Rhinolophus ferrumequinum: one gene and its partners. The protein of the gene in region 2 interacts with the protein of the main gene of each other region in a pairwise test. Links are inferred from orthologs where the notes say so. Each region holds a gene or a part of one and is shown on either strand. Other genes may lie near its edges.

Region 1 (3,748 bases), on a different chromosome or scaffold from region 2:
GGAGTTATCACGTCTCCACTCAGTCCTAACAGGGTCACAATCGACTTTGATATCATATCTTTTAAATTACACCCTTCTCATATTTACGTGAACTACTTATAATTATGTGGACTCCTTCTCACTCTCACAAACCAGCCGGGTGGGGCTAATTTACCCAGGGTACACAGGGAGTAGGTGGCAGCGCTGGCATTTCATCCAGGTCTGTCTGGTGCCAAAGGCCAGTCTAGGTCCATTATTTTCTCCCGACGCTGCTTCAGAGTGCAATGCCCCTCCTTTTGCTTTCATTCATTCCCTTTAAGCCATCTTCTGATGTCTTAAAAGGCTTTGTTGACTCTAACCCTATTGTCTAAGATTACATCTTGACTGTTCTTTTTATTCTTCCTTTCATAGAAATAAATTTTGTATCATCTCAGGTGTCTGAACACTTCTCATAGCTCAAGTACACAAGATATTATCCTTCTGTATTCTTTTCTGCAAAATACTACTAATTCCTATATTCTCATTCCCATTCATCAAAGTTACTAATAAACTCCCTATGGCCATCCCATTAATTAGTTAATTTCACCCTCTCCAAAGCAATAGCTTTTAAATATAGAAATAAATAAATCAAAAAATTTAACATATATGAAAAAATATTCTTATTTTTATTTGAATTGAGTTTTTAAATCTTAAAATTTAGAATTTTAATTTTTACAATATTTTATTATCGTTAATTATATGTTATATATAACTAAATATAGTGAATTTTCAAGTTTAAATAGTGATTTTTAAATATTATTTATACATATTAGTTTTACTTATGTGACATTTGTAAATAAAATCATGTACCTTGTAAATATTTAGAGAAACTGAAAGTCACAAAGTGTATCATAATAGCATAACTGACGATGTTACAGGGGCAAAGTGTATTTAACATCACAGACCATAAATAATAAATAAATGAATAAAAACAAGAATGAAAAATACCAGTGTCCTGGCAATTTAGAAACTATAACCATTGCCTAAATATTTCCCCTCTTTAAAAAAATAACTACACAAAGAATCTGCATTACTTAGGAGAGCTTTCAGAGATGTGATATGAAAACGCTCGCCCTGATAATTAACTATGAAGATTAAAATGTTAATGAGCCATGCTTTTGAGAGATAACTGGAAAATGAAGCCAAGTATACCTTGTATTCATTTCTGCTCCCTGGGACAACAGTTTATCTCAACTTCATTCAGGCCACCATTGATAATCCACTGATGTGTGATTTCCAATGTCCCGTGGAGAATAATGAACAACTTACCAGTGAAACCTTTCCATATGGCTAACTATTTAATGTCTTAGACATAAATTAACTATTGCCTAATGTACAGAAGAAATAATTGTGTTACTCTAAACACATGGTACATGATGGAAGTCCCTGTTTTATCCATTCTTTCTAACAGATAATTGATGCAGACGAGAGACAAAAGAAGGGACTCACTCCAAAACATAAATGCTCCACAAAGCAATCTCCTGCCTCACCTAATGCAATATGTTTCTCATGGGTCTTTTGTTACTCTGTAACATATTAAATTATCCTTCCTATTACCTGGACCACTAAAACAAGAGCTGCTAATATGCGGATGACTGTTAGATGATTACACCAGCTGTCAGTAATAAATGATAATTAAGGCATCTTAATTATTAAGCCGATGAGAATATGCAAAGTGTTCTTTATAAAACTTGTGTCAAAAGCATAGAGGAACCCTCAGTGACAAAATTCTCTTTCTCTACTTTAGATCAGCAGTGTGGTCCTTTTTCTCTCTGAGGCTGGTAGACAGCTAGATAAATTGCAGCAACCTTCAAGACATGTAGCCCCCCTACTTTCCCTGCCCCCTCCCGCCCCCCTAGTTCTTTCCCTGGGTCTCTTTAGTTATAGACGTAGCAGAATGTGATGATTTAAAGCTGCATTTTTAGCCAGTTTACCTTCAGAACAATAGCAACAATAACAAAGAGTCTGTTCTAATAAAGGTCTGTACACAGTCAGCTTAAGCAACGTAAAGTGTTCCTTTATTCTGCTAATTACCGTCTCCCCCAGAGGTTACCCATCTTCAAAGGCTGGCATTTACACTGAGAACAGGAACAAAGCATTACTAGAAAGCAGAGAGATCTTCCTCCAGCACCAGCATCTCTGCTTTCCGTAATCCTTAAGAAATATAGCAACTCAATGAAAAAGAACCCATACCTTTGCATGAGAACATTCCAGCACAGGGATATCGCTGTCTTGTCGGCTGTGGTGCAGACTGAGTTGCTGGGGCATGTATCCCTCTCTTCTTAGCTACAGGGTCTGCTTGGTGGCTGCTGCCCACACAGGGAGCGTTTACGACATGTATGTGGTGTTCGTCGGCAATGAAAGGAGACTAAGCAGCTCAGCTTGGTGTTTGCCTGGAGGCATCAGATCTTTAGACCCTCGCCATCTGATTGGCTGCCTCCTAGTCTCACTGTGACTCCTCTGCCTTAACCTTCAACTGTGTTCAATATATTTTCCCTAGGGATGCACTCAGAGAATTGCCGGTTAGGGAATTAGTGGCAGGTTAAATTGAACTGGTTTTAAAACCCAGTGATGTGATTGTCTCTGAATATGTCTGATGTTTTATTTTCTGAAGGGCTACATAATTTACCCAGGAGAAACCTAATAAAATGGATATAATTTAACAATAGCAGTTTTATGTTTCATTTCTGAAAATACCTTGAGTCTAATGCACGCATAACATACTGCTGAAGTGATCAGGTGGCTTCTCGCAGCACGGCATGTCTGTGTAATCAACATTAAATCAAAACAGATGGGGATGACAGAATATATTAAGAGGGTTATTGAAAATGCCAGGAGATACAGTTGAATAAGGCTACCGAAACCATTGTAAGAAAGTGTTATAAATCTCTTACACAAAATGCTCTTACAATATTTATGGTTGATTTTATATGGCTATAATAATGAAAGCATAAAGATCACTGATAGAAAAATAGTAAAGCCTTTGTTAACGTCTCTAGAACAAAATAGGTAGAAATATCAAATCTTTTATTCTATGAAAGCAGGCAAAATAAGAAAAGAATTAAAGCTATAGCTTTACCATCTCCTATCTATCTATTAGATTCAATTTCCTACTTTACTTTAGTCAAGAATTTAGTACAGGGTATTAAAAAATACCCATTAGTATATTATTTTTAAAATGAGAGGCTTCAAATTAAAGATGGTGAACTGACTGCGTACATTTAACCATTTCTCCCTCATAAAGCCTCACTAAAATGACAATAAAGTTTTTCTTTTAAAAACAATAAAACCACAAGGACAAAGAAACGGGAAAATTGCAACCAAATTTAGAAAACTAGAGAGCAGTGAATAGGTTACATGACCAGGGAAAGTTGGATCCTAAGCTAGCAATGGGGAAAGTCAAGGAGTGACAGAAATCACAATGTGCCAGCCCAAATAAGCTCTGGAACTGGTGATGATGTAATGGATCTTTGGAAGTAGAGTTAGGGTGGGGCTAAAAACAGCAGGGGTCTAACTGTCCATCCTTCATCTTGGCAGAACACTGGAGCTTTATTCTCTGGGGAGACTAAAACAGAGTGTCCCTGGACTAGCATGGTTACAAATAAAGGTACCAAAATGAAAATATGGGAGTTAATGGAAAATGGGTCTTCTCTCCTGCACAACTCCTAGGAGACAGGTATACACTAGATGTATAGGAAGGTGCATACTCTACTCTCCATAAAATACATTT
Region 2 (3,748 bases):
ATTTGGTAGAGCAGCTCACAGAACTCAGGGAAACATTTCACTTCCTAGATTACCAATTTACTATAAAACGATACAAGTCAGGAACCGCCAGATGGACGAGATGCACAAGGGAAGGTATGTGGGAAGGGGCCAGGAGCTTCCACGCCCTTTCTGGACACGCCACTCTCTCAGCATCTCTACCTGTTCACCAAGCCAGAAGCTCTCTGAAACTGTCAGAACCCGTAGTTCAGGGATTTTAGGGAAGCTTCCTTAGGTAGGCATACAAGCCATTAGTGATGCAGTCACTGGCATGCAGGGCCTCTGGTCCCGCTCCCCGCACCAGAACGCAGGACATGCTGAGGCCAAAAAGGAACACCCACGGAGCCATAGATAGGGGAGTCATACCACTATCGTCTCGCTGGCGGCTGGGTTGGAGACACAGGGTGGGAGACACAGGAGCCGCAATCTGCTGTCTGCTTCCCTGCCAACCAACGTAGCTACGGCATTTATATTAGTGGCTACGGCTAACCGGTAACAGCTGATGGCCACCCAGTCACAGCGGATGGCCACCTGATTACAGCTGATGGCCATCTAATAACAGAGCCAGCACCTGTCCATGTGAGGCCAAGGGCCTGGAAACTGCTCTCTGGGACTCGGTCCCCACAGTCACTCTTTAGCCCCTCTCCCCTCCACGGACGTCAGGGGGTAGGGCTGAAAGTTCAACCCTCCAAATCACCGGGTTGGTTCCCCTGGCAACCAGTCCCCATCCTTAGAGGTTTTCCAAAAGTCACCTAACTGACACAAACTCAGGTGTGGTTGAAAGAGACTTGTTATGAATAACAAAAGACACTCCTTTCATCTTTATCACTCTGGAGTTATGTGAGGACAAAAGACCAAATATTTTAACAAAAGATTCTCCCACAGCTCTTCTGGCTTTTAGGAGATGTGTGCCAGGAAGAGCATAAAGGCGAAATACATATATTTCTTATCATAAATCCCACTTGTCAGATGCCCCTCCTTCTTTACTGGCTCTTCATGGCCCACCTCCAGGCCCTTCACCTGGCCCTGATGGGTGAAACCTCAGATCCCTGTTGCATCTACCCTCTTCCACATTCGTATAAAATGATAGAACTTAACAGAAGAAACCTCGGAGGCAACCTAGTCCCTCAACTCACACAGGAAAATGAGGCCGGAGCTCACACAGGACTTCAGCGGTTCAGCCAGTATCAGACCCCAGATTTGTACTCCTGCCATGATGCCCAACTGCCTGTGGCGTTCTAGGTTTTCTAAAGGAGGCAGTGCTACAGCAGCAACACCCCTCACACCCCACTGTCCCCTCTGGATGTGTTCTAGCTGCCCAACTCTCTTCCTCCTCTACTCATCTATCAACTCTCAGCTTAAATGTCCTTTCAAAAAGTCAAGGTCTTTCTAGACCATGAACAGCCCCAAGATGGGAGTAGGTGCTTCTTTGTACTTCACAGCTCCTTTGTGCTTCCCTGATCAAGGCATTGCAAGCTACTGTTTAACCAGGATATAACCTTCTGCACTTGACAATGACCATCATTCAGGTGGGACCACATCTGTGTCGTGAGGACCACCATGCCTCCTGTCCTCAGCACAGAAAAACTGAATGGAAAGAGAGTTACTACTCTTCACTCATTTCGGTCACTGCCACTCTTACCCTAAAACCTCTCCCCAGAAGCAATGAAGGAGTCACTACCTTCTGCTACGCCTCATCAGAGTCAGGAGTAGAAGGATGCACGCGTATAGCGATCAAATGCTTAGCAGAGTGGCAGTGGCAGGGAGGCGGCGATGCAAGACCGAATGCCTGGGTTCTACACCCCTACTGTGCGGGCTCCCAGGACACACTAAGCAGTCAGACAGGCCAACGCTGGTCCTCCCCTAACTTCTGAGTCTGCTCTGTGACCTTGGAGTAGTGCTGATCCAGAACCCGAATTTCCGTCTAAAAACGAGGATGACATCTGCTTTCCTTATTAAAGAGAAGAAAGCCATAAACTTTGAGAAAGGCTATGCGTGCCAAATGTCAATTACTGTCCCGAGCCGTGACGCGATGTGTGCGATCTGTGCCCTCGGGGTGTCCCTGCCCTGGTCTGGAGTTCTTTTTCCTAATCTGTAACCCCATTGGCCTGTGTAACCCGATGAGCCTGAGCCCTGCCTCGGTTACCCCACCTGGCGTGGCCGAACCCCTCGGCCCACCTTAGCCCGGCTCGGCCCCTGGCCAAAGGGCGTATATGCCCTGGCCTACCTCACCTGCCGGGGGAGCGTAGTCCCGGGATGGGGACAGAGTGTTTGGCCCCGGCCCCACGGAGGTCGTGGGGCCACCTGGGGACCAGTTCAGGAGACGGCGCCCCCAATTCCGCAGGCGGGGGCAGCTCCTCCACATCGCGCCCGAGGGCCTGGGAGGGCAACGGATGGGAAACCTGAGAGCAGGAAACGGAGCGAACGGATTTCCCAAACAGCACGCTCCGGCTGTACGGAAACCTCTCACCGCCTCTCTAGAGCCCTCAGACTCCCCTGGACGCCGCCATCTTCCGCATGACACCGACGGCGTGCCGTCACTCGCGCGCCTCCTGCGCACACCCTCAGTCAATCAGCATCACAAATGCACTTCGCCCCGCCCCCTTCACGCCGCGCTGCGGGAAGAAGACTACAAGTCCCAGAGGGCGCCTCGCGCACCCCGCCACGTGTTTTTCTCCTCTCGCCAATGGGTGGAAGCGCCGCGTGAGCCTGCTCCCTCCCCGCTGGCGAGCCCGGGCCAATCGGAAGGGGTGGTGTGTGTGTGTGTGTGCGTGTGTGTGTGTGCGCGCGTGTGTGAGTGTGTGTGTGCGCGCGCGCGTGTGTGTGTATGTTTGTGTGTGTGGGTGCGCTAGGGCAAGTGAGGAAGGGGACTCAGCTCAGGACGGGGAGGCGCTCCTCGCAGGTCCCGGGGTCCAGGTGGCGGCCGGAGCACTTGGTCCGCAGGCAGCGGGCGGGTGGTCCACCCTCCCGCCCCAACCACGCGCGTGCGCGCCCCGGCCCCTCCCTCCCTGCCACCCTCCTCGGCTCCCGCGCGGCGGCGGCGGTTCCTCTCCCCCTCCCCCAGCCCTGGCTCCGGGGGACCCCGCGATGCCGGTCCGCACTGAGTGTCCCCCGCCGGCCGGTGCCTCGGCCGCCTCCGCGGCCTCTCTCATCCCGCCGCCGCCCATCAACACCCAGCAGCCCGGCGTGGCCACCAGCCTGCTCTACAGCGGCTCCAAGTTCCGCGGCCACCAGAAGAGCAAGGGGAACTCGTACGACGTAGAGGTGGTGCTGCAGGTGAGCGCCGGGCCGGGCCGGGGCCGGAGGGCCTCCTCGCGGCGCTCACGGGCCGTGCCTGCCCCTCGGCTCCTCGAGCCCACGGCCGCGGACCAGGCCCTCGCCGCCGGGCCTCCTGCACCCGGCGCTTCACCCCCGGGACCTGCCTAGCTGGTGTCTTACACTCTCTGAGCCCCATTCCTGACCTGCCCCCTCACACCTGGTTTCTGTCACGAGCAGCTCCTGGCAGTACCTGAACACTCTGCCAGACTTGACGCCCATGACCAGCCCGCCTGGAATCCGGAAGCCCCCTGTGATCGGTCACCCTCAAACCTGGGTCCGGCGCATGACCTGTCACCCCAAGATCAGCCCTCCCTCCAGTCCCGCTCAGACCCTGAAAAACTCTCCATTGGTTATTCCTCACTCGGGACCCTCCTCTTGGCGGAGCCCATGTCAAATTCTCCCAGACCCGAGA
Region 3 (3,748 bases), on a different chromosome or scaffold from region 2:
TCCTTTTCTATTTCTCCTTTCCATTAGGTCCTTAACTAAAAGGTGCTCATCTTATACTTTTGAATGCCCTTGATCCACCCAAAGTGAGTGCTGGAAGACAGCTAGACAACCAATTTATATTCCTGAATCTGATACAAAATAACCAAGTTTGGAGAGGCTTATAGTAAACTCAACCTCCAAAGCAAACTGTGTCAAATAAAAGCACACATTGTATGCTTTTCAACATCAGAAACACTTGTTTTAAACACCGGTTGTTCTCATTTCAGGTTGCCATTTTCCATAACTGTTACACAGGCATCAAAAAGATACTTCTATAGCAACATATTGCATTGAAAAAGAGAAGCAGTCTTCTACCTTCCCTTTTAAAATAAAAGAATCTAAGATCAATTCTAGAAAATTATCTTCTGTCAAAAATTTGCTTTTCTTCATTAAGGAAAATAAAATTTGACCAAAAATGTATACTGATCATTATTGATTTTACACAATAATAATTACCATTCTTTAAAAGTTGTAGGGCTGTGTTAATTTTTTTTCAAACTCAGAAAAAAAAAAACAAAAAGCTGCGACCTCCACTAATAAATTACATCTTTAAATATACATGATTGTGTTGTCCCCGTGTTACTTTCAATGGTAACTGACACGCCCCGAATTTAACTGTACCAGACAGTTCTATCTGTCCCATCGCTGACCAAACACTGCTTCTCTGTTTCTACTCATTATATATTATAAGAGGTCTAAACACAGCCCAGTATGACAAGAAAAATTCCAATTCTTATGACAGCAAAGCGATGCATTCAAGATCTCTTTTGCAGTACATCGCAGTCCATGAGCATTAACAGACATTTTTTGATAGAGCTAAAAAACGTTGGCTGCAAGCTCATTACTCTAAGAACCTTCTGCACCCTTTCCTGCAGGTTTTCATAAAACCCCCGGAAAAACCAGGCACAATTAAAACCTTGCAAACCAAACTTGCCAAGAACCGTGTGCAGTGATCAATAACCTTAGCTACACTGCCACTGGCCCCAAATTCACGGTCCTGGAGACCAATGCAGCAAAAACCCAAACGAAAGGCTAGATGAAGCCCAACAGAACTGCCGCGCTTCCCCTCCGCCGCCCTCTCTGCCGCATGAAGAGGCAAGGGGAGGAGAGGAGTGAAGCGAGCCTCACCAGCTCCAAAGATGCTCCGGTGACCTCTGACTGCGCGGCCGGAGCTGGGCCAGGAAGGCTCTAGTGCAGCCGCGGCGGGCCCTCTGGACTATGCCCCTGGTGCATTCCTCGCATTCCTGCACAATCTGTCGCCAGCCGACGAGCCCGCGGCGTGCGTCCCCCCCGGACACAGACACCTGCCTATTGCTGCTCCCCAAGCGGCCACGGCCGCCGCGGCGCTTCCAGTGCCCGCGCTCGCTGTTTGTCGCACTCAGCCAACATGCAGCCAAACCCCGGCCCCGCGGCTCACCCCCTCGCTTCCCCGGTAGGGGGTAAAAAGGAGAGGGCCGGGCAGCCCCAGCGCCGGGCAGGGACACCCGATCCGCCAGGGAGGTGCCGCAGCTCCACTTCAACTACTGGCAGGGAAAGGAGGAAGCGGCGGCGCAGGAGGATAGCCAGGGAAGCTCGGAGCTGGGGAACCGGGAGGGGTGGAGCGTGAGCAAACGCCGCGAGCAAAGAAGGGCGCACTGGACAGAGCCGGGTGGGCAGGACCCGCTGGAGTGCGGGGCTCCGGGGGCAAACGCGAGACCGCGCGGCAGCAGGGGCGTGGGAGGGAGGGGAGAGAGCCAGGATGCAAGATCTGGGGCGGGAGGGATGGACAGACGGCTCCGAAAGCTGGGGAAGGCGGGCGCCTCGGGGTGTTGGGGGCGCGGGGCGGCGTGCCAGGCGGGCAGGAGCTGGGGAACCTCCCGGCAGACGTCCAGGAGGGCTCGGCGTGGCGCTCCAGTTCAGGGCTGGGCGCTCTGGATGAGAAAAGGCCAAGGTGGGGAGGGGTCACGCGCGGTATGTAGGGGAGACCCGAGGAGAGGAATCACCGGGAAAAGCAAATGGAGGGTGAAACTTGTGCGCCTGCCGGGGGGAGGGGAGCAGGCAGGCGAGTGCGGGCAGGAACACGAGGCGGGGCAGGAAAGCCAAGGCGGCCGCGAGGCGGTGGGGACGGAGTAACGGGAGGGAGGCGCCCGTCCCCCCACCGTGCCCCTCGCAGGCAGGTCCCGGCTGGGGCGCGAGGGGCCGAGGGCCGGGGGTCTCGTGGGCAGGAGTCTCCGCGCTCTCCAGAGAGCCCGCACACTTACTTTCCAGGTCAGGCAGCGGCCGTCGTCGCTCCGGGGATCAGGGACAGCAATGCCGAGGGGTCGCCCCTACGGCACCCGAAAAATTAAAAAAGTGCCGTGGCGGAGCGGCTGCCCGCCCCTCCCTCCCCCACCCGCCCCCTCCCCCGAAGCGGCTCTCCCACCACCCCCGGCGGCGGCGGTGGCCAACTTGCCCCTCTACCCGGTGCCCATGGTGCCGCCTCTGCGGCCGGCAACGACACAGACTCAGCCCCGGAGCCCCCTCTGCTGCCCAGAGGCCGCCGCCGCCCGCCCAGCCGCTAGCCCGCCTGCCCAGCCAGCCCTGGGCTCCCGGGAACGTCAGCACGCCGCCGTCCCCAGACCGGCTCCCCGCCAACCCCATTGGTCGGAAGGAAAAGGCTGGCCCTCCCTATTGGCCCGGCCCTCATATTGAACGGGCCAATGGGAACTGCGGTTTCAGGTTGCCATAGAGACCGATGCTGTTAAGAGCGTGAGGGCCTGGAGAAGGTGGAGAGTGAGAGGGAAGGTGTCGGTGGCTTTGGGCGCCGGAGGGGGGTGGGGGAAAGAAGTACAGGGGGATTCCCGGGAGCTGGCTTTAACATTTGGCGTAGCTTTTGCTTTGCCTTTCTGTCAGCTCCAGCAGTGAAAGGTAGGGTTTGTTCCTGGCGTCAAAGGCAGGAACAGCTGAGCCCCAATCCTTGAAGGTGAGAGCCTTGGAGGTCGTTCTCTTTTCCCGCGTCTGGGGAGCCCCTGAGGCTATGCCCATTGACCCTAGAGATATGAGTGCAGCTTCTGCTTCTCCAGGTGAGTTTGCTCCCCACCCCTTAAATCGCTGCTTCCTCCTGACGTCACTGAAACTCCTGAATTCTACTTGTTCTTCCCAACCACTCCTTGCCTAGGGCGGATCTTGCCTCTAATTTTTGGGTCTTCAAACTTACAGCCCTACATAAAGGAGATTCAAAAAGGATTTCCTTTGGATGATAGTTCGATAAGGAAACTGACATATTGTATGTCATAAGCTCAACACAGAAGATAATGTGTTCCCTGCTTCCCGAAGCAATCCTCTAATCTCTGTGTTGAAGGATATTTATTAAACACCTATCTGTGTGTGCTTTCTGCACTATGAGCTGACAGATGTTTGCTCTTTCCCTTAAGAGGTTACAGGGTGGGGAAGACAGGTGACAGAGTCAATCCGTGTTTCTAATGATTTCACAAGAGAGTGAAGGAAATAGATTACAGTTGATGGATTTTGTTTTCAGGGTATTTTCCAGATGATGTCTAAATTTGATGGAAGAAAACAACAACAACACTGAGCCATGGAATCGGTACACACAAAAATCTTGATCTTTTAACAAATCTCATCTTTTATTTAAAGTTACGTTGTGCTTGTTTGTCAATACCAACTGTTTTTGGTAAATAATTTTCATATTTAGATACTGGCTCCTAAAATGAGACTTCATGAATATATTAGG

The links. The genes of interacting proteins can lie anywhere in the genome.
Region 1: the proteins of ATPAF2 (region 2) and SORBS2 interact in binary tests that used the Homo sapiens proteins (3 or more experiments, as listed by UniProt). The two-hybrid records come from large-scale screens. The link is inferred for Rhinolophus ferrumequinum from reciprocal best matches to the Homo sapiens genes ATPAF2 and SORBS2.
Region 3: the proteins of ATPAF2 (region 2) and PKP4 interact in binary tests that used the Homo sapiens proteins (3 or more experiments, as listed by UniProt). The two-hybrid records come from large-scale screens. The link is inferred for Rhinolophus ferrumequinum from reciprocal best matches to the Homo sapiens genes ATPAF2 and PKP4.

The regions. Positions count from the first base shown.
Region 1 is NC_046287.1:76,148,816-76,152,563, reverse strand, and holds the start of SORBS2 (sorbin and SH3 domain-containing protein 2), read right to left. Parts: upstream 2,329-3,748; 5' UTR 2,212-2,328; intron 1-2,211. UniProt on the Homo sapiens protein: Adapter protein that plays a role in the assembling of signaling complexes, being a link between ABL kinases and actin cytoskeleton. Can form complex with ABL1 and CBL, thus promoting ubiquitination and degradation of ABL1.
Region 2 is NC_046304.1:790,116-793,863, reverse strand, and holds the start of ATPAF2 (ATP synthase mitochondrial F1 complex assembly factor 2), read right to left. Parts: upstream 2,574-3,748; 5' UTR 2,384-2,573; coding exon 2,251-2,383; intron 1-2,250. UniProt on the Homo sapiens protein: Plays a role in the assembly of the F1 component of the mitochondrial ATP synthase (ATPase).
Region 3 is NC_046291.1:63,590,364-63,594,111, forward strand, and holds the start of PKP4 (plakophilin-4), read right to left. Parts: upstream 2,541-3,748; 5' UTR 2,280-2,540; intron 1,587-2,279; exon of another isoform or gene 1,168-1,586; intron 1-1,167. UniProt on the Homo sapiens protein: Plays a role as a regulator of Rho activity during cytokinesis. May play a role in junctional plaques.